6 linked regions of the Kluyveromyces lactis genome follow. The protein of the gene in region 1 binds, or shares a complex with, the protein of each later gene. Links are inferred from orthologs where the notes say so. Each region holds a gene or a part of one and is shown in the gene's direction. Other genes may lie near its edges.

The links.
Region 2: SWI1 (region 1) and SNF11 share a complex: the UniProt entries of both Saccharomyces cerevisiae proteins name them as parts of the SWI/SNF global transcription activator complex. The link is inferred for Kluyveromyces lactis from reciprocal best matches to the Saccharomyces cerevisiae genes SWI1 and SNF11.
Region 3: the proteins of SWI1 (region 1) and SNF2 are in contact, whole or in part, in a cryo-EM structure (PDB 7C4J), measured with the Saccharomyces cerevisiae proteins. The link is inferred for Kluyveromyces lactis from reciprocal best matches to the Saccharomyces cerevisiae genes SWI1 and SNF2. Residues at the interface, in NP_015309.1 of Saccharomyces cerevisiae: Ser659, Ile660, Val661, Arg662, Asn663, Tyr664, Lys665, Pro666, Leu667, Ile668, Asn669, Arg670, Leu671, Lys672, His673, Tyr674, Tyr677, Ile695, Phe696, Asn718, Leu719, Gly720, Asn723, Leu726, Asn727, Leu730, Val731, Ser733, Ala734, Asp735; in NP_014933.3 of Saccharomyces cerevisiae: Leu427, Leu430, Ile438, Lys439, Val440, Val441, Asp442, Ile443, Asp444, Asp445, Pro446, Val450, Asp451, Ser452, Phe453, Thr454, His474, Ala475, Phe477, Thr478, Ile479, Glu480, Pro481, His491, Glu553, Trp554, His555, Gln556, Asn557, Ser558.
Region 4: SWI1 (region 1) and SWP82 share a complex: the UniProt entries of both Saccharomyces cerevisiae proteins name them as parts of the SWI/SNF global transcription activator complex. The link is inferred for Kluyveromyces lactis from reciprocal best matches to the Saccharomyces cerevisiae genes SWI1 and SWP82.
Region 5: the proteins of SWI1 (region 1) and SNF5 are in contact, whole or in part, in a cryo-EM structure (PDB 7C4J), measured with the Saccharomyces cerevisiae proteins. The link is inferred for Kluyveromyces lactis from reciprocal best matches to the Saccharomyces cerevisiae genes SWI1 and SNF5. Residues at the interface, in NP_015309.1 of Saccharomyces cerevisiae: Arg662, Tyr664, Pro666, Leu667, Asn669, His673, Gly676, Tyr677, Asp678, Tyr681, Ile682, Ile685, Lys688, Ile689, Ser691, Asn692, Lys693, Pro694, Ile695, Phe696, Leu697, Phe698, Ala699, Pro700, Glu701, Leu702, Gly703, Ala704, Ile705, Asn706; in NP_009848.4 of Saccharomyces cerevisiae: Pro316, Pro317, Glu318, Ile342, Ile343, Asp346, Asn349, Glu356, Thr357, Phe368, Ser369, Asn370, Tyr373, Ile374, Leu377, Trp378, Thr380, Leu381, Tyr384, Gln385, Leu387, Lys388, Arg391, Ile395, Ile407, Trp408, Tyr412, Asn417, Ile419, Thr420.
Region 6: the proteins of SWI1 (region 1) and SWI3 are in contact, whole or in part, in a cryo-EM structure (PDB 7C4J), measured with the Saccharomyces cerevisiae proteins. The link is inferred for Kluyveromyces lactis from reciprocal best matches to the Saccharomyces cerevisiae genes SWI1 and SWI3. Residues at the interface, in NP_015309.1 of Saccharomyces cerevisiae: Arg670, Leu671, Lys672, His673, Tyr674, Asn675, Gly676, Tyr677, Pro694, Phe696, Leu697, Glu701, Leu702, Gly703, Gly720, Glu721, Thr724, His792, Asp793, Met795, Val796, Asp797, Ile799, Phe800, Val803, Asn804, Glu1197, Lys1267, Ala1270, Ser1271; in NP_012359.1 of Saccharomyces cerevisiae: Tyr310, Ile322, Gln325, Ser326, Leu327, Pro328, Arg380, Lys383, Phe384, Lys387, Trp388, Pro419, Arg420, Gly421, Leu422, Phe425, Leu598, Pro599, Phe600, Ser601, Glu604, Asn605, Lys702, Glu705, Lys706, Glu709, Leu710, Lys713, Glu716, Arg717.

The regions. Positions count from the first base shown.
Region 1 is NC_006040.1:1,041,683-1,047,219, reverse strand, and holds the start of SWI1 (Swi1p), read left to right. Parts: upstream 1-2,692; coding exon 2,693-5,537. Other genes in the region: PBA1 (Pba1p), read left to right, coding at 1-250; snoRNP complex protein NOP56, read right to left, coding at 602-2,143. UniProt on the Saccharomyces cerevisiae protein: Involved in transcriptional activation. Component of the SWI/SNF complex, an ATP-dependent chromatin remodeling complex, which is required for the positive and negative regulation of gene expression of a large number of genes.
Region 2 is NC_006041.1:899,251-903,037, reverse strand, and holds SNF11 (Snf11p), read left to right. Parts: upstream 1-2,888; coding exon 2,889-3,287; downstream 3,288-3,787. Other genes in the region: IPT1 (inositolphosphotransferase), read right to left, coding at 81-1,685. UniProt on the Saccharomyces cerevisiae protein: Involved in transcriptional activation. Component of the SWI/SNF complex, an ATP-dependent chromatin remodeling complex, which is required for the positive and negative regulation of gene expression of a large number of genes.
Region 3 is NC_006038.1:743,924-747,787, forward strand, and holds the end of SNF2 (SWI/SNF catalytic subunit SNF2), read left to right. Parts: coding exon 1-2,886; downstream 2,887-3,864. Other genes in the region: ORA1 (oxidoreductase), read right to left, coding at 3,594-3,864. UniProt on the Saccharomyces cerevisiae protein: Involved in transcriptional activation. Catalytic component of the SWI/SNF complex, an ATP-dependent chromatin-remodeling complex, which is required for the positive and negative regulation of gene expression of a large number of genes.
Region 4 is NC_006040.1:502,810-507,725, reverse strand, and holds SWP82 (Swp82p), read left to right. Parts: upstream 1-2,283; coding exon 2,284-3,816; downstream 3,817-4,916. Other genes in the region: PEP4 (proteinase A), read right to left, coding at 1-171; KLLA0_D05907g (putative short-chain dehydrogenase/reductase), read left to right, coding at 1,019-1,900; KLLA0_D05863g (uncharacterized protein), read right to left, coding at 3,907-4,916. UniProt on the Saccharomyces cerevisiae protein: Involved in transcriptional activation. Component of the SWI/SNF complex, an ATP-dependent chromatin remodeling complex, which is required for the positive and negative regulation of gene expression of a large number of genes.
Region 5 is NC_006041.1:1,665,113-1,670,845, reverse strand, and holds SNF5 (Snf5p), read left to right. Parts: upstream 1-2,121; coding exon 2,122-4,524; downstream 4,525-5,733. Other genes in the region: APM3 (Apm3p), read right to left, coding at 250-1,743; BSD2 (Bsd2p), read left to right, coding at 4,925-5,733. UniProt on the Saccharomyces cerevisiae protein: Involved in transcriptional activation. Component of the SWI/SNF complex, an ATP-dependent chromatin-remodeling complex, which is required for the positive and negative regulation of gene expression of a large number of genes.
Region 6 is NC_006037.1:579,831-585,389, reverse strand, and holds SWI3 (Swi3p), read left to right. Parts: upstream 1-2,101; coding exon 2,102-4,993; downstream 4,994-5,559. Other genes in the region: KLLA0_A06446g (uncharacterized protein), read right to left, coding at 731-1,597; CCAAT displacement transcription factor COY1, read left to right, coding at 5,333-5,559. UniProt on the Saccharomyces cerevisiae protein: Involved in transcriptional activation. Component of the SWI/SNF complex, an ATP-dependent chromatin-remodeling complex, which is required for the positive and negative regulation of gene expression of a large number of genes.

The DNA.
Region 1 (5,537 bases):
ATTTATTACCGGTTCTATCACCAATTTCATTTTAGCTCTACCAAGGAAGGAACTCAAAGTTATTGTTGTGCCTTCTGAGGGTCCAATTGGTTTTGAGAAATATAATTTCCCTACCGTTGATGCTTTAGTAGATGAAATGTCGAAATTACTTTGCTCGTACCCGTCACAGACAGAGTACTATGTATCGGAATGCTTAAAGCTTTGGAAACTTGACGAATGTACCACAACTCAAGGCGGGTTATATATTTAACGTGTCTTTAATCAAATATTGGGATTACACCCGTTCTGTTTTTTAGTGACGATAATTGTCTAGTATTCTAATTAAAATATGATTTGGGTGATATACAGATGTAATATGTAACAATGGTTAAATGATGAGTTGCATGTTTGTAGACACGAGGTTTTCCTTATTGTCTTAGGATACAAGTAGGAGCGTTAAAGGTGCAATTAAGAGCTTTATAATTATGAGAAACCGGAATGACTTAATAATGTAAAAGTGAAAAGTTAAATGTAAAGTGACGAGTTTAAACTGAAATATGATGAAAAAAAATAATAATAAAGTCGATCAATCTTCGGAAAATGATTGAAAAGTTGACACAACCTAATCCTTATTTTTCTTACTCTTCTTTTCCTTCTTATCCTTCTTCTCTTTCTTCTCTTTCTTTTCCTTCTTTTCCTTCTTTTCCTTCTTGTCCTTCTTGTCCTTCTTGTCCTTCTTAGACTTCTTTTCCTTCTTCTCTTCTTGTTCAGAGTCTTCTTCATCGTTAGATTCTTCTAGCTTTCTCTTCTTGGAGACTTCAGTCGTATCCACTTCTTCTTCGTGAGCTGGCTTATCTTTATTGTACAATTCGATGGCTTCCTTGATAGCAGATTCATTCTTCAAAGTTGGGGTACCAGAAGCATAGAATTCCAATCTTTGTTCAACTTGTTTCTTTAGCACTTGACCGAAAACGTTAGATGGTTCATCGGAGTAATTATCGATTCTAGAAGCCATAGAACATTTGTTAGCCAAATATCTAGAGATTCTACCCTTGTTCTTAGCACTAGCTTTAGCGATGAAACCACTGTGGTAAATCAAACCATACTTTGGTGTGTTACCTTTAGTCTTCAAAGCTCTGAACAATGCCTTTTCAGCACCCAAGATTTGGACAGTAGAGGCAGCTTGCTTAGAAAGATTGGTCAAAGAACCAGAATGAGAGATCAATCTAGCACCGATAACTTCACCGATCAATTCGGACAAGTTTGGAGCCACAGTGTGCATCTTCTCACATAGGTAATCGTATAATTGTTTCCTGTATTCAACAAGGGAGACAACTCTCTTAGCGAAGATGGTAACGTTTTCCATATCAGTTTCAGAAAGATCTTGACCCATAGAGATACGAGCGTTATCGATCACTCTTTCACTGATACCAGCATCGTTATCCAAAATTTCCGATAAATCGTGCAAGGATTCTTCGTTCAAAGATGCCTTATCCTTAATGAATAGAACGAGTTTAGCAAACTTGTAATTGTCTGGGACTAACTTTGCCAACTCTGGGAAATGCCAACCGTACCATTCCTTCACTCTCATGGCAAAAGTGTTGATATCCTTATCCAATTGATCCAAGAGAGCAATGGCTTGAATGATATGGTTATCGTTTTTCTGAACAGAGAACTTAACCTTAGCACGAGAGTAAGCATGACCCAAACCAAGTTGAGCTCTTTCCAAATCACCAGGTTGTAAATCTTTCAATAATTTGTCACCGTGTAATCTAACACCACGAATCAAATCCTGAGCTAACTCATTAGAAATACAATCAACAAATGGAAAAACTTCTTTAATGGATGGACCTAAGTTCTTATCAGAAATAGCCAAAGTAACAGTCTTCTTAGAAGAACCCTTTGGTAAATTTAAATCCAACAAAGCTTTCAAATGTTCAGAGACTAAACCTTCAGAAATATCATTAGCATTTTCCAAAGCTTGAGCAGCACCTTTGAAAGGAGCAAAAGAAACCAACTCAACTAACTTAGTGAAAGAGCCGAAATCATTGATCTGTTGCTGGACTTCCTTCAAACGAGATCCGATATCATCCTGTTGCAATTTCACTTTGAAGATACCATACCCGGTAGGTTCTTCGAACAAAAGATATTCAATAGGAGCCATTATTTAATTCTCTGATCAATAAAGTTTCCTCGCTACCGTAAAATCTCTTTGATCTGGACTCTTCAACACACACTAACTTCGGAATGAATGAACAAAACTCAAGATAATACAGACAAGTATTAATTGAAATATCGCTGTGCACATAACACAATATACAATATATTCACTGGTCAGAAAGCTCATCTCTCTTTATTGGCTTCGAAATGAAAATTTTCCAAACAAAAAAAAAAGAGCGATGAGCTTGAAAAAGAAAAGCAGAATGGGAAATATATTTTACTTACCCGGCCGCGGCCGGGTAAGTTATACACGTGATCGAATGTATTACCCGGATATAGAATAATTGACAAAATCACGTGACCTGGAATTTTCTTGTCTTTCCAAAAACAAAACAACGAAAGGAAACTCGAAATTGTATTCAATGAATTCAATTGACACTTGACTATCACTACTTTCAGAATGAATATAATTCCCTTGTTTTAGGTTTTATTTAGGCGTGATTTCTCTCCCCTGATATCAAGGGTCAAACGGTAACTTTATTGGTACATACGGATGGACGATCAGTTTTTGTTCCCGGACGAGAGTGATCCAATGAATTCTGGCGATGGCCAGCTTTTCGGTCAAGGAGGTTCGAACGGTGATGAGTACCTTTCCTTCCTTGATAACTCAGGCGCACCCAACCAGCAAGGTATACCTGATAGTAATTTAGGGCCGATGGAAGATGTTAACGCAGGCGTAACGCCCCAGGCTATATTGGCTAGAAATTCATTCTCAACTGTCAATTCACCTCCGTCGATGAAGAACGGTGGAGTCTCTATCTCTCCACAATCCATGTTTTCTCCAGCCGCAGGACCAATTCCTATGAATACAGCCAATGTAGCACCGACGCAGTCTCCCGCCGGCACTACTTCTTTACAGCAGATGTTATCGCAGCGTGGAACGCCGCAAAATGTGCCAAGTGGATCCCCTACAATGGCCGATGAGTCTTTAGCTCAGGCGAGTGCTAGTAGACAGAGCCCTCAGTATATGGATAGAGCCGCAATAATTGCTGCGCATCAACAGAGGCAACAGCAACAGCAACAAAAGCTACAGATGTTGCAACAACAGCAGGCATTCAACCAATTACAGCAGCAGAAACTAAGACAACAGCAGCAACAAGCACAGGCTCAAGCGCAGGCACAGGCTCAAGCACAAGCTCAAGCTCAAGCCCAAGCACAAGCACAAGCACAGGCTCAAGCTCAAGCCCAAGCTCAAGCGCACATACAAGCACAAGCGCAAGCACAGGCGAGAATGCAACAACATGCGCCTCAAGTACAGAATCAGTCTAATAACCAAAGAAACGTTCTACAAAATCTAGATCCAGCCATTCAACGGAAAGTCGGTCAGGAATTAAACACCAAACAGTTTGAACTATTTAGAAAATCATTTTTGGAACATTGCAGGAGAAAGAATCAACCCGCAGATATTGCTCAAATGATTAATGGTACCCAGGTCAGTTTCTTCATCTTATACATGTATGTTCAGAAGCTTAACGGAGGAGAAAACGTCACTAAAGCACAACAATGGCACATATTGGCGAAAAAGATGAATATACAAGGACCAAATGCTGGAGAAGAATTGGCAAAGACGTACTACAGATATTTACTACCGTACGAAAAGTACTTGATGACCCCAGAAGGTATTAAAGAAACTCAAACCAATCGTATCATGTTACAGCAATTACTTCAGGACATTATAAGAAACATTAGAACGAATACACCGCAGTTCCAACCGCAGGTGCAAAATCAGTCTTTTATGCAGGGTCAAAACGTAATACAACCGGATTTACAAATGAAGCAACAACAGATTCCTAAGGCTCAAGGCAAAACAAAGAACACCGTCCCAAAACAAGCAAAACCTAAACAGCCTAAGAAGCCAAGAGTGAAGAAGAAGACTAAGAAAGAACTAGAACAGGAAAGAAAACAAATGGAAGAGCTGCAAAAGCGTCAACAACAAGAAGCGGAGCAACAACAGCAGCAGCAAAAGCTCATATTCGAACAACAATTGAAGAAACAACAGGAAATTATTTTGAAACGTCGTGAAGAGCAAATTAAGAAGCTTCCGAAGGTGTATAAGAGAACGATGGCCAGGCATTATAGTCCCACCACAAGAGCCATCACCACGCAAAATGGGTATGATATTTCAAAGATTTCAGCTCTTGGTGAGATGATACATAATTTTAAACCCATCTTCCTCTTTGCGCCGGAGTTTGGTGTCGTCAATATCAATGCAATTGCAATGCAGTTACAAAGTTCTAATAACCCGGAAGTCAATACCGCACTAAACTCATTATTAGTTATTAGCTCCGATAACACTTTATCAATTCCACTCGATAAATGTCGTGAGCTTTTGGATAACCTCTGTATCTTGGCGTGTCAGTTACTGCATAAACTATTGAAGAAGGATTATTCAAGGATATCAGGGTCTTATACTGAATATGATGAACAGCAGTGGATTAATACGCCTCCCAAACATTCGGATTCCTCTGATACTCATATTGATAAAATTTTCAAGGAAAGCGTCAAAAAATCTGGAGAAGATCAATCTGAATATACAGTAAAGGTAGACTCTTTAACTGGTATAGATTTTTCTCAACTTCCGATCACACCGACGGAACCAGAAATAGAAGTCGATGCGACATTACCTGAAGTCTCACTGGAGAAGGACGAAGATGAGAATGATATTGAATACTTACCTGATTTGTTGAAAGACGAAAATCTCGATGAAATCAAAAAGCTACATTTCATTTCATATATGGATTCTCTAACTAAAGTCAAAACGGAAGTCGGATCCATCTTTAGCAAGTGTCACCGTTCTGGAGCAGAGGATCCGCACTTGTTGATTGTTGACCAATTGACAACAATTTCAATGATCTTGAGAAATCTTTCATTTAACGAACAGAATTCACAGGTAATGGCTAATAATTACCACATGGAAAAATATATTGCAGATACTCTTTGGATGGTTTTCATTCATAGAGATGAGTTTATTTTTGAGCGCAGGGTTTTAAACTTCAAGAAGGATTTGATTTTTATTCTATCTAATATTACACATATGTTGAAAATTGAATCAACAGTAACTTGTTTGTTAATCATAATGCTAGCGTTGAGCTTCGCTGATCCGAAAGATCATATTCAAGAGAATAGCGTCTTGACATATGCAGAGTACACCATGAATGTTGAAAAATGTCAGACATACGGTGCGGACGTCTTGGCTAAACTTCTTTCTCTTGGTTACCCAAATAGAGCACATTTTAAGTCAGTATTAACTGGTGTTTTCACTGAAGAAAATGACGATGATGACATATGCCAGCAGGTTTTAGATTTGTATAACGGGGACGAAAAATTCAAGTTGTTTA
Region 2 (3,787 bases), on another chromosome or scaffold:
AAAAAATGAATCAATGCAAACGTACGAGACGTTTGATATACCGTATCCGAAGGTTTGTTGATTTTTGTTGTTCAACTATATCATGCCAAGGGATCGAAAAACCATTCGATCTTAGTGTTTTCAAAAACTCTCATACCCATAGTTTTTGACTCTTTCATTTTGTCCAAGGTAGGATCAGCCCTGGTTATTAGCCAAGGCTTGATAACTTTTGGTTGCAAGACGTATTTGTTGATCAAGATGTATGAGATTACAGCATAAACGGCACCGACGAATAAATCGTATCTGAAATGGTGATCCAAATATTGGGTTGACCACCATTGTAAGCATACGAAAATCGTACCCAAAAATTTTGGTAACAGACCTTTATGGAAAATGTAGAGCCATTTGGACTCTAGAATATGAACTGGCAAAACCTGCTGTTTGGCAAGGATTTTAGCAACAGCCAACGTATTTAGTTCTGAATCCGAGTCAGAAGTCGTTGCGCGTGCTTCCAAGTCGTCATCCCCACCGTTAGTTGTTTGTAAAGTTATGCTATTAATATGTGAAACGAGTTTACTTTCGACGCTGTCACTATCATCAGCAAAATCGTCATCCTCGAACTCGAAGGGAATAATGGATTTGTTAGGTTGGACCTTAACATTCGTATAACCTTGTTCTTCTTCATCTTGTTCTTCATCCATCTCATAGTCATCATCTTCATCCTTTTGAAGAATGACAGGAGCAGCATCCGTAGCGATCGATTCCGGCACAGATTTCGTTTGTGTAGACCTGAACAAAAGGAAGAAGAAGCATTGTACAGCCATAGCCGAATGTAGTGACGGCACGGCACCGAACACGATTGGCGAGAGATGGAACCCATTCGAATTGAGATGAGTTCCAAGATGCATGTCGACCCTAGTCAACCCAGCAGCGTAACCCGGTTGACTGTAGTTCAAATGAGCCGTATCATGGGCACCGTACATATGTATGAACCATGGTGGAGCCATTGGTAATAAAAAGTGAGTGAAGAGCCCAACGATATTTTGTAAACCTAATGCGAATGAGAAGCATTTCAACGTACCTGGGATGTGGAAAACGTACAAATACACACCAGTAAGAATGGGCCCAGTGAGATGCAGAATCACGTACATCACCCAAGCCAATAAGTCCTTGAACTTGGTGAAATTCGACGGATCCTGACTGGATAAAAGGTGATCGAAATTCAACATCACAAATGTAAAGAACAAGAATAGAAAGGGTAACACGTTTCTCATCCTGCTAGGTCGGAATTGAGATGAACCGATATAATTCAAAGGGTATTGTAGCAAGACGTCTGTCTCATCGAACAGGTTATGCCTCAATTTCTTGGTATAATAAACATAGTACCAGATGAACAATGGCACCACAGCAAATAAGATACCGATGATACTACTGCTCACGAGAGACACCACGAATTCCAACCTGGTATCAAGAGAATGCCAGTAATCACCAAAAATATACGCATCACAATAATAAGCGACGCTACCCCAAATGGGTGGTCGCCAATTGGTAGGTATGACACCTGCATTCTTGAACATAAACAACCATATAAAGATTGGTGAGAAATTCAAACAAAAATTCAAAGCCAGTGTGAAGACATTGCGTTGATTTACACCACCCAAATATACCCTTTTGATGAACCACGGGATCCAAAGTAAGCACTCCATGTCTTGGAGTAGGGAACTTTCAGCTGAAAACGAAAATCCACACACAGACAAACAAATAGAAAGCTTGTTAACTAAATACTATCAAAGGACGATGAGATAGAACCTTGAGAAACCTTAGAGAAACTTTTGATATGCAAAATGATTCGAAAAGAGAAATACCAGAAAAAAACCTGAAAAAAACCACAAGGCAAAGAGAATAAACAGCGGGTGGCTTAAGCCTGGATTCCTCTTAATACCTTGCCACTACTTAAGTTATCGACTAGATGAAGTATCAAACATCACAAGATTAACAAGATTTACTAGTTGGCATTAACGTCTATCAACAAAATGGATGGACATATTTGTATATATATTTAATACTTTATTTTGCAGAGAGTTACGTATTTTAAGATGGCTGCGGATTTAGTAAAGCAATTCGAAAAGAAAAGAACTAATATGGCAAGGAACAGTTTCGGTAATAAAGAGTTTCCAGTTGAAAGGTAACCGTTTTATGGTGGATTTTCTGATCGGACGTACTGCCAGCAGGGCCGAAAAGAAATGGGTGAGGTTCCTACGCTGGGAACTGGTCCGTCTTGTGACTTAAACCCACGAAAATATGCGGTAACTTGACTGAGAGAAACTGAGAGATGGTACGTTTTTCGTCTGGCTATGGAATTAGGTAGGAATTCAGTTTATGCGTCCTTCGTTGTGGCCTAAGGCTAAGAATTTGTTGGCTGAGCTTTTTCTATTGTAACTGAAAACATTGTTTGGGATTTCATAATGTGGGGGAATAATGTGAATCGATAGTTATAGTTATGTAATGGTGGCATTTTGAGGCGTTGAAGGGGTGGCAGTAAGGGAGGAAGAGCATTCGTCATCAAAGTGGCTGAGAAACTCTTGCTGTTTCTTTTTTATCAGTCACGTGTTACACACGTGACTGAATGTGTTTTAAACTTAGAAACTTATGTCCTATGAATAGGTGACCGTATAGAGCACGAGTGTCTAGTGTACATAGATATGGCAGCCCAGGGATTTTTGTGATCTTGGAGTGCCTTTAGTCGCTATTATGAACTGGATACTTAGTGGTTTTTTCGTTCCGCTTGAAAATAATTCAAATCACGTTTTAATTCGTCTTACTACTTTGACAGTGAAGGAAGTTCAAAGATAAAAAGATCGACTGACTGACGACTACGGAAAAGTACCCTGCACCCACCCTAGATCAGCATGACAGATCTAAACCCAGCAATAGACCTGAAATCAGACTCAGGAGTCTCACCAAAGCAGAAGCTACAATGGAAAATACAAGTGCTTCTTCATATCAACTCGATGTTGATCAAAAAATCCCAAGAAACAAGAACCATGTACGAAAGCAGACAGGTACCGACACTCGCGTCGCTGTCCAAAGAACAAATGGAACAAATACTAATCCAATATACGAAAAGAATACACTGTAACTTACATACAATATCTCAGATAAATCAAGGAAATCTAGCAGCAAAACCTCCTATCATGGACCCTCCTCCAAACCCATTTCTTTCAAACACTGCTTCAGCTCAGGAAAGACAACAGGATATGCTGGTCAAGATGTATCTATTAATGAATAGAATGTTCCAATTATGGTAGCTTCAACGAACACTGTGCGTACATTGTGTGTACACTGTGTGTACATACATAATATATAGATAAAACGCTCTCATTTTAACGCTCTCTGTAGTTACCTATAATAATACTTGCTCCATTCCGGTATCAGCACCGTATGCAGCAATGCAGCAATGAAGCATAGAACGATTGCGGTCCTTGATAGGCTTCCACAGACATCACCAGATGTTTATCTGTCTTCGATATTCCCTTTAATTCTCAAGTTTCCTGAATTTTTTTTCCGTCCGTGCCATCATGATATGACAATGGCAATTGCCATTGCCATTGCCATTATCAAATCCTCTCATATGGACAAATAAATATAAATATATACAAGTATGTCAATTACGTTAAACGTACTAGTGCTTCGTGAGTATATTTAGATTAGCACTGATTCTAATTGGTATTCTCATCGTTATAATATTAGATAGAAGATCAATCGATTGGACTGGGGGAATAGTTCCATTGTATGAGTGTTTAAATTT
Region 3 (3,864 bases), on another chromosome or scaffold:
CAACGTTTGCAAGCATTGAAAGCTAACGATGAAGAAGCATATATTAAGTTGTTGGATCAGACAAAGGACACAAGAATTACGCATTTGTTGAAACAGACTAACACTTTCTTGGATTCTTTAACCAAAGCTGTTAAGGATCAACAGTCTTTCACTAAAGATAAGATCGAATCTCACCTTGACACTCAGGAACTTAGCGAAGACAACGTGGGTGATAAAAACGGAGCAGACTCTGATGATGACTTGGAACGTGAGAGAATCGATTATTATGAAGTTGCTCATAGTATCAAGGAAGAAGTGAAACAACAACCATCCATCCTTGTAGGTGGTACTTTGAAAGAATATCAATTGAAAGGTCTACAGTGGATGGTGTCTCTTTTCAATAACCACTTGAACGGTATCTTAGCAGACGAAATGGGTCTAGGTAAAACTATTCAAACAATTTCTCTTTTAACCTACTTGTACGAAGCTAAGGGGGTCCATGGTCCATTTTTAGTTATTGTTCCGTTATCCACTTTGACCAACTGGAATGCAGAGTTTGATAAATGGGCACCTAAGTTGCGGAAGATAGCTTTCAAGGGTCCTCCAATGGAACGTAAACCTAAACAAGCGTTAATCAAAAATCGTGAATTTGATGTAGTGTTAACAACCTTCGAATATATTATCAAAGAGCGTCCATTACTTTCTAAGATAAAATGGGTTCACACAATTATTGATGAGGGTCACAGAATGAAGAACGCTCAATCTAAGCTTTCTTTAACTTTGAACACATATTATCATTCTGATTATCGTTTGATTTTGACTGGTACCCCTTTACAGAATAATTTGCCAGAACTATGGGCCCTTTTAAACTTCGTTTTGCCAAAAATTTTCAATTCTGTGAAATCTTTCGATGAATGGTTCAATACACCGTTTGCAAACACTGGTGGTCAAGACAAGATAGCATTGAGCGAAGAAGAAACTTTATTGGTCATTAGAAGATTACATAAGGTACTCAGACCTTTCTTGCTTCGTCGTTTAAAGAAAGATGTTGAAAAAGATCTTCCTGATAAAGTAGAAAAGGTTTTGAAATGTAAGATGAGTGCATTACAACACAAATTATACCAACAGATGTTGAAGCATCGTAGGCTATTCATTTTTGATGATTCAAGTAACCAGAAGTTCTCTAGTTCTCGTGGGTTTAACAATCAAATCATGCAACTCAGGAAGATTTGTAATCATCCGTTCGTATTCGAAGAAGTGGAAGATCAAATCAATCCAGCAAGGGAAACGAACGATACCATTTGGAGAAGTGCCGGTAAATTCGAACTGCTAGAACGTATTTTACCAAAGTTCAAGGCTACCGGTCATAGAGTTCTAATTTTCTTCCAAATGACGCAAGTTATGGATATCATGGAAGATTTCTTGAGATATCTTGACATGAAATACTTAAGATTAGACGGTCATACTAAATCTGATGATCGTACTGCATTATTAAACACTTTCAATGCCCCAAACTCTGATTATTTCTGTTTCCTTTTATCTACAAGAGCTGGTGGTTTAGGTTTAAATTTGCAAACTGCAGATACCGTTATCATTTTTGATACTGATTGGAATCCTCACCAGGATTTACAGGCCCAAGACAGAGCTCATAGAATCGGTCAAAAGAATGAAGTGCGTATTCTTAGATTAATTACAGACAATTCAGTGGAAGAAGCAATTCTTGATAAGGCGCATGCCAAATTGGACATTGACGGAAAAGTTATTCAAGCAGGTAAGTTTGATAACAAATCAACAGCTGAAGAACAAGAGGCATTATTGAGATCGTTACTAGAAGCTGAGGAAGAGGAAAAGAAAAGACGTGAGTTAGGCATTGAAGAAGAAGAGCAGTTGGATGATAACGAACTCAATGAAATCTTGGCGAGAAACGAAAATGAAATAAAAGTATTCCAGGAGTTGGATGCTCAAAGGATCAGAACACAGATGGAAAACGGTATAACAAACAGACTTATGGAGAACTCAGAGCTTCCTGAATGTTACAATGTTGACATTGAAGCAAAGCTTGCAGAAGAGGAAAAGCAGAACGTGTTTGTTGGAGGAAGAGGTAATAGAGAGAGAAGAACTGCGCACTACTCTGATGAATTATCTGAAGAACAATGGTTAAGGCAATTTGAAGTCAGTGAAAATGAAGATGAAGAAGGTGACGCTGGCCCAAAGAGAAGGAGAAGGAGAGCCGCTGAAAATAATGCTAAAAGGGCAAAACTTGAGACAAACAAAGAACTTGACGGTCCAGCTACAGGAACGGAAAATACTCCTGTTTTAGATCCGCAAGAATCAAATGGAGACTCTGCTCCATCTGGTGTTATTGCCGGTAAAACTTCAATTAAGACTGCAAAGAAGACCAGCAAGGGTAGGAAGAAAACTTCAACTGCCGTTCGTAAGAATGGCAGAAACTATCTGCGTTCAGCAGATAATGCTACAAAAACTTTGAAAGAAAGACAAGAAATTAGTCAAAAAGCTCGTGAATTGTACGACTATGCTGTATACTATAGAAATGCCGATGATAGAAGACTTTCAGATATTTTCCTAGTGAAACCATCCAAACGACTCTATCCAGACTATTATTTGTTGATCAAATATCCTGCCGCATTTGAAAATGTCATGAAACACATTGATCTGAATGTTTATGATTCTTTGAAACAGGTTGTCGAAGATTTCCATTTGATTTTTGCCAACGCTAGAATATACAACACAGAAGATTCAATCATATTTAGGGACTCATTGGAGTTGGAAGATGCAGTGATCGCGAAGTGGAAAGAAATGACAAACGAACAAGAAGAGGTGGACTTTAGTGAATTTGATGAAGAGTTTGCAACTCCACCCTTGATACCACCATCTACACCTGTATAGTGTTTTTTTTTGGAAGAAGATCACGGAGACTACACTACATAAACTATAAAACATATAGCTAACTAAACACTAATTAAAAATGTAATCATACCTAACATAATAATAGATATTTGAAATTTCAATCCTTTTCCATGTAGGGCTGATAATCTTCGTAATGTTCAAACTAAAACGAATAGAAATCATATTAGACAGTTGGTGGAACAGGCCATGCCAATATAATAGGTGGTTAGCATTGGCTTTGCGTAACCGACACATGACAAAGCATATAAAGGAATACTGAGCCTAATCTACTGTTTGCTTGTAATCAGATCAAGAGGTCCCTGGTGTATTATTACTGCCGAAGATATACAGCCAACGGAGACCATTACACGTGACTTGTGGTCTCTGATGCCATAATAAAATAGGAAGGGCATAAATTTCTCCTTTTTCTTTTTATGACAACAATAAGCTTCTATGGCCAAGTTGGTAAGGCGCCACACTAGTAATGTGGAGATCATCAGTTCGACTCTGGTTGGAAGCATTTTTTTGAATTTAATAAATGCTCAAAAGAAAAAAGGCTGGCGTTTGGGCTTAATCTTTACAGCAAAAGAGTCCATATCCAGTTATCAAAACTGTTGTATTACATGTGCTACATGTGTTACTAATTGTATACCTGTATAAGTTTTTTTAAAAATGTGTTACACGAACACATCTTCTGACGTGATTATCTATTCGCCACGGTAAATGTGGTAAGGAGATGCTTGGTTGGAAGCAAATACCAAAACATCAGCGATGACAGTATTAGGTTTTCTTGAAGTGGCATAAACGATCAAGTCAGCAATGTCATCTGCATATAGAGGAGTAGTACCTTTGTAAACCTGTTTAGCACGATCGGCATCACCCTTGTATCTAACTAGAGAGAACTCAGTTTCGACATTACCTGGAGCAATCTCAATGACCCTAATACCAGTATTGATTAATTCTTTTCTCAAAGACTGA
Region 4 (4,916 bases), about 540 kb from region 1:
TAAGTACTTTTCACCTAGTTGAGCCACATGTTCGGCAAATGGAACATCCTTCAATTGGTCTTCCAATTTATGTTTTTGAATTTTGGCCTTATGAATCTTGGCTTCAGCAACATCAAAAGAAGCCAATAACAATGAAGCTAGAGGCAAAAGAGATTGGAAATTCAAATGCATGCTTATTTTTTTGTTGTAAGAAAGCACCGTTTAATGAACAGTTAGCGGCACAATTTCAGAAAAATTTTGGGGGAAACTGTATAATAGATTTAATCAAGTTCCTCTCCGTTCAAAATACTGACACTACTATATATCTGACCGTCTACCCTGTCTTTAATATAGTTATGTCAACACTTCTATTATCGATGACATTATTCAGACATTGATACCCTTAAAACAAGGTTATTGCATAAACGGCAAAATTAATCGCCCCTTCTTTTTACCGTATTTATATTTGATATTTATATTTTTTATTTATGTTTCTAACTTTACTTTGTTTCAGTGCAATTTGTGTGCACCCTTCTGAGCATACTGTTGAAAATGGAATTGTCGCTGACTGTAGAGCCAGGTTAACCAAGCAAGACATTCAGTCGCTGCGCAGTGTTGTCAAATGTTGATGAATACAGTCATCTGGGAAACGAAGTTTGAACGAGATTACTTTGAAGCAAACTCTCCGTAGGACCAATGCAATACGCGGTGATTGGTGGTTCAAGATAGTTTTACATGAGATCTTTCAGTCACGTGATGGAGGCGGTTTTTCAAGGGGCCGGCCCCTCATAGGGGTGATGGTTGACAGCCAAACCAGTTCACAATCTTCAGGACGAATCGCAATGTCATTAGTCAGACATATTGTCGATAAAAGATCACCGCCGTAACTAATAAGTCGAAGAAATCATATATAGATACTATTTAAGGTAGCTTAGTGCAACGTTGATTGCAGATATGCAGCTTGCACAGTAATATTACCAAGAGTCAAGGGGGAACTATCTATTGTAATTGCATCGGACTAATCTTACATCAAACAACCATGAAGACCAATCCTGATATTGTATATACGAAGGCTCAAAAATTGATTGAACTCAATTTAGATAATAAATATGTTGCTATCGTAGGAGGAACGGGCGGTATTGGCCGTGAGTTGGCAAGAGTGTTGGCACAAAAGGGTGCTAAAGTCATCGTTGTTGGTAGAACGTTCAGAGACGAAAATGTTGAAGGTATTGAATTTATCCAGGCTGACCTAGGTTTGGTGTCAGAGGCATCCAGAGTTGCGGAATTGTTACCTGCTGAAAAGTTGGATCTTCTTATCTTCACTACGGGAGTTTTGGCTCCTCCAGCGAGACGTGAGACTAGCGAAGGTCTAGAAGAAGATTTGGCCGTCAGTTATATCAGCCGACTAGTGATGATGAATCATTTGGTACCCAGATTGAAGGAACATGGTGAGAAAAAACCTCGCGTATTTGTAATGGGTTTCCCCGGTGATAACTATATGGGAGATTATAGAGATTTGAATTCAGAAGAATCTTACGGAGCTATTTCCACACATATGAAAACAGTAGCCGGTAATGAAGCTCTAGTTTTGGACTTTAAGAATAGGTTTGCTACTGTCAATTTTTATGGGTTGAATCCGGGGCTCATCAGGACAAATATTAGAGATAATTACCTTGGTAAAGACACTTGGAAGTCAAGAGTGGTAGAATGGTTCATAGGTATGACAAATCAGACTGCAGAGCAATACGCTGAAAAGTTAGGCCCCTTGCTAGTTGCCCCAGAATTGGAAACTCATTCAGGCGCCATGTTTGACAAGAATGCTAACCCGATCCTTCCATCAAAAGATTTTACTGATGATTACGCCAGGAATTATATCAAGGCCTCAGAAGAACTTCTTGCAAATCTTAAGTTGGCTCAATGAATGACACTACCAACATCTGAAGCCACCGGCACTATTATCTAAGAATCCCGTTTTATTCCTATATTTTAGATACGTTAGTTTGTATGTAACCTAACTGTCGGGTATTTGCTGTGTCAGTTGCTGGTCATCACGTGATCAGTATCTTTATGTATTTTCCATTGTTTTGAAATTGGGTCTTTTCAACATGTAATCTAACTATCGAATGCCTGTCATTAACATAAACGTAAACATATGCATATCTTTCAAAGTACATCGTGAAAGAATTCAATAGACGGTATAAGCTGCGACACTTTCATCCATCCTAATTATATTTGGAACACCACGAGACCTTTCTGGCTGTTGAACAGGATACGTTTATTTGTTTATCTTCACATGCTGGAAAAATGGACTCCAGTACTAACTCATCTGTCACTGCTCAGGTGAATCCGGTGCCAGAATATGTCATAAAGAACCATGAGCTTTTTATTTTGAAAACCACATTATCAATACTCAATAACCCTGAATTACTCTCCGGCAGACTTGACAAGCCACCAACAAAGCAACTTGTACTACCTTCGTTCACCATTAAGGAAAGGTTATCAGACAACAATGACTCTTATGTTTTGGGAAAGGGTGATCAAAATGGGGAAACGAAGGTTGATAAACAAGGACGGTTACATGGAGAAAGGCATTACTTGTTTCCTACTTTCACTTATCCATGTGCGGAAAACAATAATTCGGAAAATTTGTACGTCTTAGTACGGGATTTGATTAGAGTCTTGAATCTAGATGTGGAACAACAAGAGTTTTTGGCTCAGCATCCAGACCTTTACCCAATTAATGCAAAACATGATATTATCGAATTTTTGACCCAGTATAAACTTTTACCTGAAGGTGCTACTGCTGCAACATATATCACAGCTAGATCTGCTTTTCTTGTCTTTGGAGCTGCTATACTAGCATCCGGATCAAGAGTGATAGATGATTACTGGGAACAACTATCCAAAGAACAGGGCTTCCAAGCGCAGCACAGAGTATACGCACTCTCTCAAAAACTTCTCGACATGGTATGTTCGATCGATCCAAGGACTAGAACAGCACATTCTTTAGGTCCACCTGAGCTTCCTGAATCGAAGCAAGCACAAGCGGGCGTTATGTCCACATCACAACCGCAATTCGAAGACCCGTTTTCAACCATTACGGAACTACCGCCTTTAGAAGCACGTAAAGAGTTCTTAAGTAATATTGCTCATGGTGAGCAAACTGCAATCATATCGGGTCAAACTATACATGGAGCAATCGAGTTGAGTACTATTTACAAAATTCCAAAATACCACTATAAGAATTCCTTCGCCGCTGCTCAACAACACAATGTTCTAGATTCCCCGATTGGAACGCACACCCACCCGGTAGAATCTCATAACTTTGGTAGAGGACGTAAAGCTAACTATGTTCCCCCGGAGGAGACAGATGTGTTGGCTCAAATTCCTGGATGGAAATTTACGCAGCTACCAGTTACAACAAATGATGAGTTACCTACAACTTTCAGTGCTGGAGGGTTACCGATATATAATAAGGCGAGACTTCCTGCAAGGTTAAAACTATTGACGCCAAACCAAATAAAAGATTTAGAACGATCCCATGATGTTGTTCATTTGAATACAGCTCTTGGCCATGTCCGAAAGTTAAGAAACACCCGTTGGACTAAATTTTGGCAGTATAAGGCCGGTGCACCTGTTGGCCTTACGGAGGATCAACTTTCGTATTACAAAGAGCAATATCTACAGCAAGTTTTGAACCATGTTGATGTGAGCATTGTGCCAAACGAAACGAAGAATGTAGATGAAAAGCGTACCGTTAAGCGAGTACCGAATCCAAATTTTTTGGGATACTCCAATGTGTCAGGGTTTAGGCCACCTTATGTTGAAAAACCTTAGAATAATAATGCAACTTCATCTATATCGAACTAAATACTGCTAGTAGAAAGCTATGCAATAAAGCTGCAGATATATATAGAGGATAATTCATTATAACAATTTAACTTTAACAATGTCTTGACGAATTTTGAAAGTGTAGTATGCCATAACTAAAACGATTAGTATTAGAGGCAAAATCCACATTAAGAGTCTCTTGACGATTTCGTCAACTGAAACGCCATTTCCAGCATTTTCCATGCTTTGTTTGGTGGCCTCTCTAATCTTTGCTTGATCCTGAAGTAATTGCTCCAACTTATCATTCATAACAAAGAGGTCCTTGAAGGATTCTGTATTTACTTCACCTTCTTTACCCATTGAAGCCACAATAACTTCTAAAGTAGTTGATAGATATTCTAGCTTTCTCAAGTGCGCTGCTTGATTTTCCAAGATGCCAATTAATTTACCGTTTATCACGCTGATGTCATTGGCTAATATCTTGCCCTCAATCTTATCCAATTTCTTGTAAAGTTCGTAGTTGTCCACCTTATTTGCTAAACCCTTCATTTTCATGAAATCTGTTTCTACAACGTCTTCTTTACCAGTATCCTTGTTGATAATCTTTGTTACCAATCTAGGCTGTTCCATAGGGTTAACATTTGGAATTGTAACTTCTTTAGTAAGACCGTTATGAGTATGTACCTTCAGGACTTCAAATGATTCCTTGTTAGCATCATTCTTTGCAGTGATACCCATCTTCATTTTCGCATTTTGTGGGAATTGAATTTGTCTGGTTTGGAAACACACCCTATTATCGACTTGAAGTTTCAATAGGTTATTGTTCTTCCTATCATAACTCAATCTGATAGTGGTTGGAATAGTAGTATCCTGATAGGCTAACAAACAATAGGCAAAAGAATGATCGTACACATTTTTTTCAGTCAATTTCTTAGACCCGTCGTTCAAGATACCACGAACAGAACTACCCACGGGCCCATTGGAATCCACCAAAATTTGAAGCCCATCAAACGCCTCTGGTCCACCGAATAAAGAAGTTCCTCCTGCACTTTTACCCTCCACTAACCAGAAGGACAACCCACCTTCAGATTTCCCTATAAAATCAA
Region 5 (5,733 bases), on another chromosome or scaffold:
TCGAGATCAGTAAAAATGGCACTATAGAACAGCCCTGAAACTTCTGGAATTCACTCTTGCCCTCCGCATTGCATACATAGAAACTTTAAAACATCTGTTATCCAAGGTGGCTCTACTTATTCCTTTTAAGTCTTTAATCAGTTGGAACACTTTTTCCTCGTTCGAAAAGTACATAAAACAAAAATATCACGTGATCCAAACACATACATAAATACATACATACATATATATAAACCATTTAACGTATCATCACCTATACTCTAGCGAACCAGTCTTTGTGAGGTACTTAACACCTTTGAACGGTTTTTTTGGACCTCCATTAACTACGTCGATTGATTGAAGTTTGATTCCGGAGGGAAGCTGGGATTTGTGTTCGTAGTAACATTTGATGAAACTAGGTTGTAGTAAGGATGTTAAGTGTGAACTAGGTGGTTGAACAACCGAAGATCTACTAGATGTTTGGTCATTGGAGGCGAGTTCGGGTTCCAGTTCCGCTATACAACGTAGTACAGCCATTGAACCGCATACCATGTTTTTGTCCAAATGCCAATTAACTTCGCCACGAGTCATATTTGTTTCGACACCGCCGTGAGTGTTTCTCATGACACGTACTATTCCCTTAAAATTTCTATTCATCCTGATAGTCATGCTCATGTTTTCTATTTCTTTCACCGTCGTGCTCATTCCAACGGTGACGCGGACCTCAAATTCGTCAAGTCTTTTACCTAAACTGCTTTGTAAATTTACGTCTATAATGCCGAGGTTTGAGTCTCTTTTCACCAACGGTAGGGTATATTGACAGAGCCTAGTACGTCCATCAGGAGGTACAAACGTTAGCTTAGTGAATTTCCCAGCGATTAAATCATTTATGCTGTTCGCCTTATCCTCTAAGATGCATCTATGGAAAGTCGTGTTTAAGTGGCTAAGCTTGTGGTCTAAGAGCCCAAGTTTCATCTCAACCAATGGCTGTCCGCTGAGATGGTTGTTTAAGTCGATACAACCCTTGATATGTCCGGTTAACAGTTTCCCCTTTTCCACAATAGCGTTAATTTCCTCACTCATATCGATGAATATTTCGTTATTAGCATAGTTGATGCCGCTCATTCTCCATGGGACACCAGATTCATCAACGGAATGATCAACTAACGAGGAGCCAGGAGACCCAACGTGGAACGAGGAAACGGATGAAGCGGATGAAGATGGATATCTACTGCCACTAAACCTTGATTTTTCCGGACCATTCTTAAACATTGACCCGTCCGGTTGTTGTAAGGTCTTGGTAATTGTATTGGTTGTCGTCTTCAACAATTTCGATAAATCGTTTCTACTTGGGACCATTGCCTTTAAACGGTTCGAGTCTGTTATCACCGGTTGCCCAGCATCAAGGATACAATGGAAAAGCATCGATAATCGATCGAGGTTATTATTTATCTTCTGCTTCGTTAATTGGTCCTTATCGAAATATTGTAACAACAGTAAATCTATCTCTTCTAACAAAGATACCACGGAAACTGTGGACTCTGAACACGAAATTAAACACCAATAAACAACTGGATTCAGCAAAGAAACGTGTCTGCAAAGCTTCAACTCAGAATTTATCTCATTGCAGTATTTAGACTCCCATGATTCGTCTTTACCTTGTAGTTTAACAACTAGTTGCCGAAAAGTAGGGCACTCTGCTACTGTTGAGTACTGGAATAGCGTTTCCTGGCACCTATCATTGACATATATGCTAACAATCATTGTAGCCAATTGCTTAAGTTCACTATGATAACCAACTATATGCGGATAACCCGCTGTATCCTGTTTGCTTGCCTTAATTTTTCATTAGGTTGTTCCATCTCGTACTTCTCTTAATCGTTAATCAAAATTTCGTGAATTTCATGAATTCAAAGAACGAAAGAACAAGACCAACAACAAACTTTAAAGATCAACAAGAAATTCTTGTTTTTAAGGGAACTGAACACCTTTCAGGTAGGCTTCAGAAAGGGTATATTTGACAGCATTTGGTTGAGAATTATCGCAAGAAAGAATATACTAGTTTCCTTCTGTGTTTCCCTTTCTGTCTGCAATTGAAAACACTAGTTGCAGTTTTGTTTCTCTATATAAGCTGAAAGGAGAATGTCAAACCCACCAATGAATCCTGGCAATGCGAACCCTTTGAGTAACATAGGGACGCCTTCCTTTTCGCTTTCGCAGGTTCCACAACATATCCTACAATCCTTGACGCCAGCGCAGTTGCAGATGATTCAGCAGAAACATCAACAGTTGTTATTGCAGAGACAAAGACAAGCACAGCAGATGCAGCAAGAACAGGTTTCTTCTCCCGGTAATATGAACCAATTGGATGCTGCTCAGCGTGCGCAGCTAATGAAGCTCAAACAACAACAAATGCAGAGATCTCAGACGCAGCAGCAACAGGAGCAACGAGCTCAGCAGGTGCAACAAGCCCAGCAATTGCAACAACAGCAGGTTCAACAGCAACAGCAGCAGTCTCCTCCCCAATCTCAACAACGAACTTCTTTGAATCTTCCTCCACAAATTGCACAACTATCACCGGCATTGCAAATGCAATGGCTTCAGTCCATCAAACAACAGGCTATTGCGAGAAATAACCAGAACGCTCTTCTGATGATCACTCAGCTTGAAGTCAAATTACAGCAACAACATAGACAGCAACAGCAACAGCAACAACAGCCTGTACCACCACAACAACCTGTTCAGCAGCAACAACATCAATCCCCGCCACGCAACATTATTCCTCCTAACCAACCGCAGCTTCAACAGCCTCAACCTCAGAAACCTCGTATACCACTTCAGCAACAAATGGGGAATCCACAACAAATGATTGGAGGTCAACCTATAACTCAGAATATACCAGTTATGAACAGTAATCAATCGATGGTTCCTTCGTCACAACAGCCACAATCACAACCACCACAACCACCACAACGACAACCACCACAACGACAACAACAACAACAAGTCCCAGTTTCAGTACCACAGCCACCTCAACCATCACAAGCTGCAATACTACAGCAAGTGCTTCAGAAGTTTCAGAAACAACTTCCTGATATTCCCAAATTCCAAACTATTCTTCAAGACCCACCTGAGACTCCATTACCTCATACTAGGTTATGGTCAGAGAAAGAAAGAGCTGATAACGAGCCTGTGAGTTTTGATACAAGATTATATGAACATGTTATTGAACGGGATTTGTTGGATAAGGACAACTTGTTGGCGGACACTAATGGATTGGAACCTATTTCCAAATTCGGATTCAGTCAGAGGGAGGTAATATTGAGATTACAGCAAGATCTTGATTATTACAAAGAATTGAGGAACAGTCGAATGCAATCCATTACCAACACAACTCAAGGACATAAATCTAAGAGTATATGGGGTGACGGTTATTCTGGATATGGAAATGGCTTCAGTAACGATCTCACAAGGATTCAAGTCGATGACACTTATGAAATGCACTTGGACGAAATATATGAATGGACAATGAATCAAACAGGGGAGGAACTAGTACCTGTTAGATTAGAGTTTGATGCAGAAAAGGATAAATTTACTTTGAGGGACACATTCGTATGGAACAGATCAGACACGCTACTGTCAATCAACGAATTTGTGAAAACAACGCTGAAGGATTATAGGCTCAAAGTCACCACGGAGATGTATCAACAGATTGTGAATAGTATCAAAGAACAACTTCAAGAATATACTCCAAATCCTTTTGAAAATGTGCAGAGGTTCGGGGGCGATGATTTCAGAATAAAAATCAACCTAGATATTGTCGTTGGACAACATCAATTGATAGATACCGTTGAATGGGATGTGTCAAATCCAGATAATTGTCCAGAATCGTTCGCGGAGTGTTTATGCGAAGAACTATCCCTTCCGGGTGAATTCTTAACAGCAATTGCACATTGCATTAGAGAACAAGTTCACATGTATCACAAGTCATTATATATGGTTGGTTACAAATTTGACGGTAGCCCCGTTGAAGAAGACGATATCAGAACAAGATTCTTGCCTGTACTCACCTTAGCAGACGTAATGAGACCACAAAAGGATACGTTTTTATACACACCTAACTTATTACAGATATCTCCCGCAGAACTAGAACGTTTGGTTAAGGATAAGGACAGAGACACTAGAAGGAAACGTAGACAAGTTCGTTTCAATAGAAGAGGCAATACAGAAAATCACCCATCGTCCGGAAGTACACCGCAACTACCCCATGATGCAGAACTTCCTGATCTTGGGGATATCCCAAAAACGTGCCGTCAACTACTTCCAACAACAACTTTGCCTGGAGGTATTGATGTTGGTCCAAGTACGTTATCGTTCCAGCCATCAACTAGAGTCGAATATTTAGACAGAGCTAAAGCAACTCCAAAACAAGAATTCCAACAGGAAGTAAGAAACTCATCAGCATGCAGAGTTATTATGCACGACGTTGGGAAATCTTTACTCGTCACTATAAAGCTACCAAAGGCGAAGACAACCATTCAATGAGTAATTCGCTATATATATATATATGTACATATGTATTTATGTGGTACCACCTGTAACAATTTTAAGAAATACTATGATAAATAAGCTAGAAGAAAGAGCACTGAAGATAGCTATGAGAGACCGAACGCCGATGATCGCGGGCTTACTCGAGGGTCTTGACACGCACCTCTACGTATATCGATATTTATGTGTGCCTGTTTCATTCTTTATGGTGTAAGCCTCTAAATTTCATAAACAGCTCAAAACCAAAAAATATATTTAGTAATGGAAACGTTAACATTTGAACGAACCAACCCTTTTAAGAAACTTGGTATGCAGAGGCCACAAACTCATCAAAGCAGCCATATTTGAGTGTTACTCGAGGGTAGTAGAGTTTACTGAGATTATCTACGCGGCGAGTATGTCTGAGCATTCGGAATTCGTAGCCGGAAGTGGCGTTGGCAGGAGCCAAGATGAAGTCGGTGGATCTTCCTCAGTGACTTTGTCTCCTTCACAATCGCAGTCGCAGCTGCAAACACAGCCAGAAACCGAATCTTCAAGAGCTGATGATGTGGAAACAGGGACAACTTCGTCGTCTTCTAGACTGCACCAGATGAATGGGCAGTTCCAACAACATTTGAACTTTGTTGCCCGAAAGTTCAATATATTAGATAGACTGTTTAGAGGCGGCAGTTCAAGCGAGCAAGCGATGAGGTTACAAGTCGGGGCGAGTTCTGATGGTGTATTCAGTAATCTTATGGCGAAACCTGAAAGGAACGGTATCAATGGGAATGGGGAACAGGATAAGCCTCCTACGTATGACGAGGCTGCGGCTGATATGGCTCCACCATATTACGGTATAGACGACGATGGCGTTGGATTGTATTACAACGAAATTTGCATCGACGGCCTTCCAGTTGGGAATATATTCAATTTCTTATGGAACGTTGTGGTCAGCTTCAGTTTCCAATTTGTCGGGTTCTTGTTGACCTATATCTTACATACATCACATGCAGCTAGGCAAGGGTCCAGGTTTGGACTTGGGGTAACTTTCATTGGATACGGATATTCCATGATACCGAACGATGTTTCAGGAAAGATAGGAAAGGATAATGAATTGAACAGGTTTACATTTGATAATCCAGATTCGTTTGAAGAGATTCGTCTATATACAAGTACTTCTACTCAGGATGAATTCGAATCGGACCTTTCTCATGGAGTAATGGAAAA
Region 6 (5,559 bases), on another chromosome or scaffold:
TGAATCCATACATGTGTCAATTGCCCTTGATCAGTGCCAATGAATGTGATGTCTTCTACAAATGTACAAACGATGATTGATAGGGTTTGGTCCACACGATTGTATTTAGAATTTCTTCAGATCTGATAATAGCCACGCGGTTATTATATCTAGTTGTGTTAAACTCAACACTGTAGTTAATGCATATTAGTGAATTTTATTGGCCTCCAACCCTTTTTTGTAGGTTAATCATCGTGTTGGTCTTCGCATTCTTTACGGTAATGAAGATTAACATCATGTTAAGACCTTTCTTTGGTTCTACCTCTTTGATGTCAAGTAAAGTCTGATTCCATGTTTCTCTTCTGCACAGTTAGAATATTACAGACCAGTAAGCTTCTCTGAATTGTTTACGTTCAGTGTGGTTATCATTCCTTGAGAGTGCCTGTTGATAGCTTAGTGATCTATCTATTTTGGTCTGTGCTATCCGTGGTACACTTTGTAACGCCTGGATTGAGGAAATGTAGAAACGTCCTTTTTGTTTCATACGGTCAAAATTGGAGTCCGGACTCTCTTTAATCATTAAATTGACTATTATATGAAAATCCATTTGTGGATCAGGTTCATCCGTTATAAAGTAGTCTTTATCTGATACTTGAACCACTTATATCCTATCCTCCACTCCTCCTACCAAGAATCAGTAGTTGTCGGTTGTAAGATTGTTTGGATGACCATTGTAGTTTTTGGGATTTTTCTAGTCCCAGAATTTATTCCGTTGTTTGAAGGATTTATTCCTGTCATCGATTCTCCTATCAGTGTTTTCGAGTGTTCTCTTTTGTTTAGTCATTTTGCTAAACCTCAATTCCTTCTTTAATTCTAGGATTATCTCAGTGGTTTGATTTGTAGGTGGTTTGCTGATGGGATGTATGCTATCAAAACCATGGTAAATCATAATATGTCTGTACACTTTGTCGGCCAGGATAGTATCCAAGTGAGGTAAATTGCATTTTTTGAAAGCTTCAACTAAGTCTGTTAAAGTTTTTATTAAACCCTTCACCTTGTAACGAGGATTTACTTCGAAGAATTTGACTCTATGCTCCAGTAAATAAGGATTGTATTTCTTATGGATATAGTCCATAGCAATGGTGGGAATGTCGGCATAATCCTCACGGAATTTCTCTCGATGAGCTTCCAACCATTCTGGGTTTTCTGGTAGAGATACTACTCTTTCATATACGTCTTGCCACCATGCGACTTGATCTGAATTGATACCGTCGAATAGAGTTGTATTTGAGAAGTCAAACTTATCTTCATACCCACAATAAGTGAAGTATTTATAAATATCAAACAACCATTTTTCTAAGAAGTCTTTTGTTTTGACCTCTCTGATATGAACATCATATTTTGCCTTTTCACACGGGAAAGGACTAAAGATGTTATCTTTTAGGTACCGTGTAATACTCGAACTATATTCATCTGTTACTTCCTTGATTGAGTAATTGTTGAACAGCTTTTTGTTGTTTGAACCTGTGGCGCTACCATATTGAGTCCCGGAAGCTCTCTGTTCAGTGTTACCCTGACATGATGATATTCCTTCGCTCATATTATCTGTATCTGACATCAATTGACTATTTATTATACACCGTTGTGTGGTCTGTATTCCTCCCTCTCCCCACCATCATCTTTCCATTATATAATGCCTAATCATCCTATGAGTTGGCATAAGATTGATTCTTCTCTTCTATTTGTACTTCTCTATCTCGTATATGATAAAAGAGTTGTCACGTAATAGTTCTTTCTATCTCGTATACTTTCGTATAGATGGATCTTAACACTTAACATATCACGTGCACAAAGGTATCATCTATTACCCGGACACAAATGGTCTTCCTTAGGAAAGATGTTTCGTCCTGTTTTAACAATGTTAAAATAAACAATTTCAAGTAAACAGACATTAAGTCAGGTTTGGGCCAGTTCAATCTAAAGCATCGATCAATTTTCGCGTCATTGCTACTACTTTTCAGCTTGTCATCACTCATCAGTTATTCTGACTCCACTTCTTTGTTGACAAGTGAAGGAAAGCAATTCGCCTGAGGAAGATTATAGTTTATACACGGATTTTTTAATGGCAGATGACGAACAACGGGACTCTGTTCTTGAGTCTGCACAAACTCAGAGCTCAGTAGAGAATACCCAAAACACGTCAGAACAACCTGGTTTGATAGACCATACCGAGGATGTAGATATGGGAGGAATTGATGATAACTTGGACATGGACGTTGAACCTAATCTACCTGATGATTTTGGTAACGAATTCTCAGAATCTTTGCCGCAAGACTTCCCTGAAGAGTTCGGCGATGCACCATTGGCCGAAAACCTCCCTGAAGGAATAAACGATAAGCTTTTATCGAATCTGGATAATGAGAACGGTGACGCGGACGATGCAGATCTATTTGAGGAAGAACCCGAGGAACAAAACCCTGCTAATGAAGCATCCGAATCTGATTTGTTGAAATCCCCATCTAAAGAAGACGATACTACCGCAGCAGGTAATGAGGAACAAGAACAAGAACAAGAACAAGAACAGGACGAACAAATGGATAAAGAGAATGACGAAATCGCGTTGCCAGAAACTAAAAAGGAAAGCGATTCGAACGGCGAGGGGAACAATGACCCTGTTGGAAATATAGAAACTGAACAGAGCGAGGTAGAACCTGCACAGAACGAACTGGAAACTGCCAATGACAAACAAGAGCCAGCACCAGAACCAGAATCATTTACTGAAAACCCCAAATTACCAGACGTGAAGGACTTAGGGCAGCCCGATTCTGGTATAGATGCTCCAGTACATACTACAACAGAGACAACAGTTGATGAAGAAATTGATAAAGAGCACAATACTGAAGCAGAAGCAGAACCTGAAGTAGATAGTATTCTTGAACAAGAATCGAGATCAGCTTCTCCTGAATCAAATATAACCGTAAAGCAAGAAAGTAATACTGCTGATCCAAAATTATTTGTACCGCAATCCCATGAAATTGTAATCCCTTCATACTCGAAGTGGTTTAATTTGACCAAAGTTCATGAAATCGAAGTGAAATCTTTACCGGAATTCTTCACTAATAGAATACCTTCAAAGACACCCCAGATGTACGTCAAATATCGTAACTTCATGGTAAACTCTTATAGACTAAATCCAAATGAATACTTCACAGTCACTGCAGCTAGAAGAAACCTTTGTGGAGACGCGGGCGCCCTCTTCAGACTACATAAATTCTTAACCAAATGGGGATTGATCAACTATCAAGTAAATGCTACCAAGAAACCTAAAATGGTTGAACCCCCATTCACTGGTGAATATGAGACGAGATACGATGCTCCGCGTGGATTATTCCCATTCCAATCTTATAAGCCGGCCCTACAACTTCCTGATATGACCCGCTTAAAAAAGATAATGACTCAGTTAGACACCAAACCCTCGGAACCATCATCTTTGAAAAGGACTAGTGATGAAATCTCCAGTGAGCACACTCAAGATTTGTCAAACGGGGGATCCAGTCACGTTAATGGTATCACTAACAAAACGGCTTCGGGTTCTGTGGGACCAGAGAACTACGGCCTGAAGGATGAAAAGGAGTCTCCAGTGAATGCCGACCTTGAGAGAAACGATCGCAAACCCAAAAGACCAAAGATTTCTCAACTGATTGACAAAGATTGGACCCAAGAAGAAATCTATAAACTTATCGAACTTATTAAAGAGCATGGCACCGATTGGTTTAACATTGCCAAAACTCTAGGAACAAAGACTCCGGAGCAATGTATTTTAAGGTTTTTACAATTGCCTATTGAAGATGCATTTTTGATGGATGAAAAAGATCTCGGACTCTTGAAGTTTGGTTCTCATATTCCTTTCAATAAATCTGACAACCCCGTAATGAGTACGTTGGCATTTTTAATAGGGTTAGTCGATCCTAACATTGTTCAGCATTTGACTAAAAGGGCCATTTCTCTTCATGACATTAATGTTAATACGGGTGCTAACACGGAAGCAAAAGACGCAGAAGAAAGGCAGGAAGAACAAAAAGAAGAACAAACAGAGGAATCAAAAGAAGAACAAAAAGAAGAAATAAAAACTGACGCCAGGGAAATTGAGCATACAGAAACGGGAGCTGAAAAATCTGAACCTGCAAATTCAAATGCCGCAGATCACTCCACAGCAACTGAAGGAACTGCTCCAGCAGCAGAACAAGTAGCAAATTCAGATGTAACTGTTGACACTTCAAATGAGAAAAATGCAAATACACCAGAGAATGAAGAAAAAGAAGCAACAGAAGTAAGAGCTGAAAAAACAGGAGAAGAAGGGCTACAAAAAGCGGAAGAAAAGAATAAAGAGGAAGGTAGTCAAGAAGAAGCGATTCCAGTGGAAGAACCTCATCAAGAAGAATCTTTAGAGAATGAAGCATTATCAAACAAGGAAACACCATCGGAAAAACAAGAGCTGCCAGAAGAACAAGCAGTAACGGTCACAAATGCTGAATCTGATGCTAGAATAACAGTGAAGGACGGCACAGAAGTCGCTCTAGCTACCTTGGGGCTACGCTCTCATGTATTCGCTACCAACCAAGAAAAATTGATGAATAGGACGACAAATGATTTAATCAATACTCAACTAACAAAAGTCGATTTGAAGTTGAAGGCTCTTGATACCATGGAAAAATCCTTGGAACTAGAGCGCAAGGCTGTGCATAGGAAGCAAGAAGATGTTTTCATTCAAAGGCTAAGCTTCACCAAGTATGCCAACTCTCTTATGGGAAAATTTGAATCTTTACTGAAGCAAATTCCGGAATCTCCAGAAATCAAACAGCAATTACACGAATTACGTACCATAATTGCTGATCCACCAAAGACAAGTATCACATCCCAATCGGGTAATCTACAAGATTCTGATGATCTAGACTCCGCCAACAAACCAATATCGATTGAGTCACCGCAGTTATATCGTTATTGGTCAGGTTAATAATATAGACAATATTCATGTATTATATAGCCTCGTAACATTATATTAATTTAAACTATTGAAACAACACAAAAAGTCAAGCCTCTCCTTGTCCAAATGCAACATCTTCGTTGGAGTAAATCCTACTTGTTTTTTCCTTTGTACCTTGTCTTCAGGAATTATGTCCGTATGCTATATTGTCTTTAAAATATGAAAATATTGGAAACCTTCAAAAAAAATAGCTTTAACTAAACACGAATACGATATTTAATATTCCCAATATCAGAACAATTGAATGATACTGGTATTCGTTGTAAAGGTCGGATTTGCATTATTAAGGACCCAGTAACAAGTTCTGCGATGAATTTGTCTACATATGAGCATGCGTTGTCATTGTGGAAAGAAGCTGGCTTCAGCAGTATACAATCGTTACTTGATGATAGCATAGCTAAGATAAAGGATTTAGAAACTTCATCCTTGGAATCAAGAAAAACGTTAGCCAGTGAGACCAAGAAGTACAAGAAATTGCCAGATGATGAGAAACCTAGCCAATCTTTGAAATTAGTGAAAGAATACCAGAAGGAGAT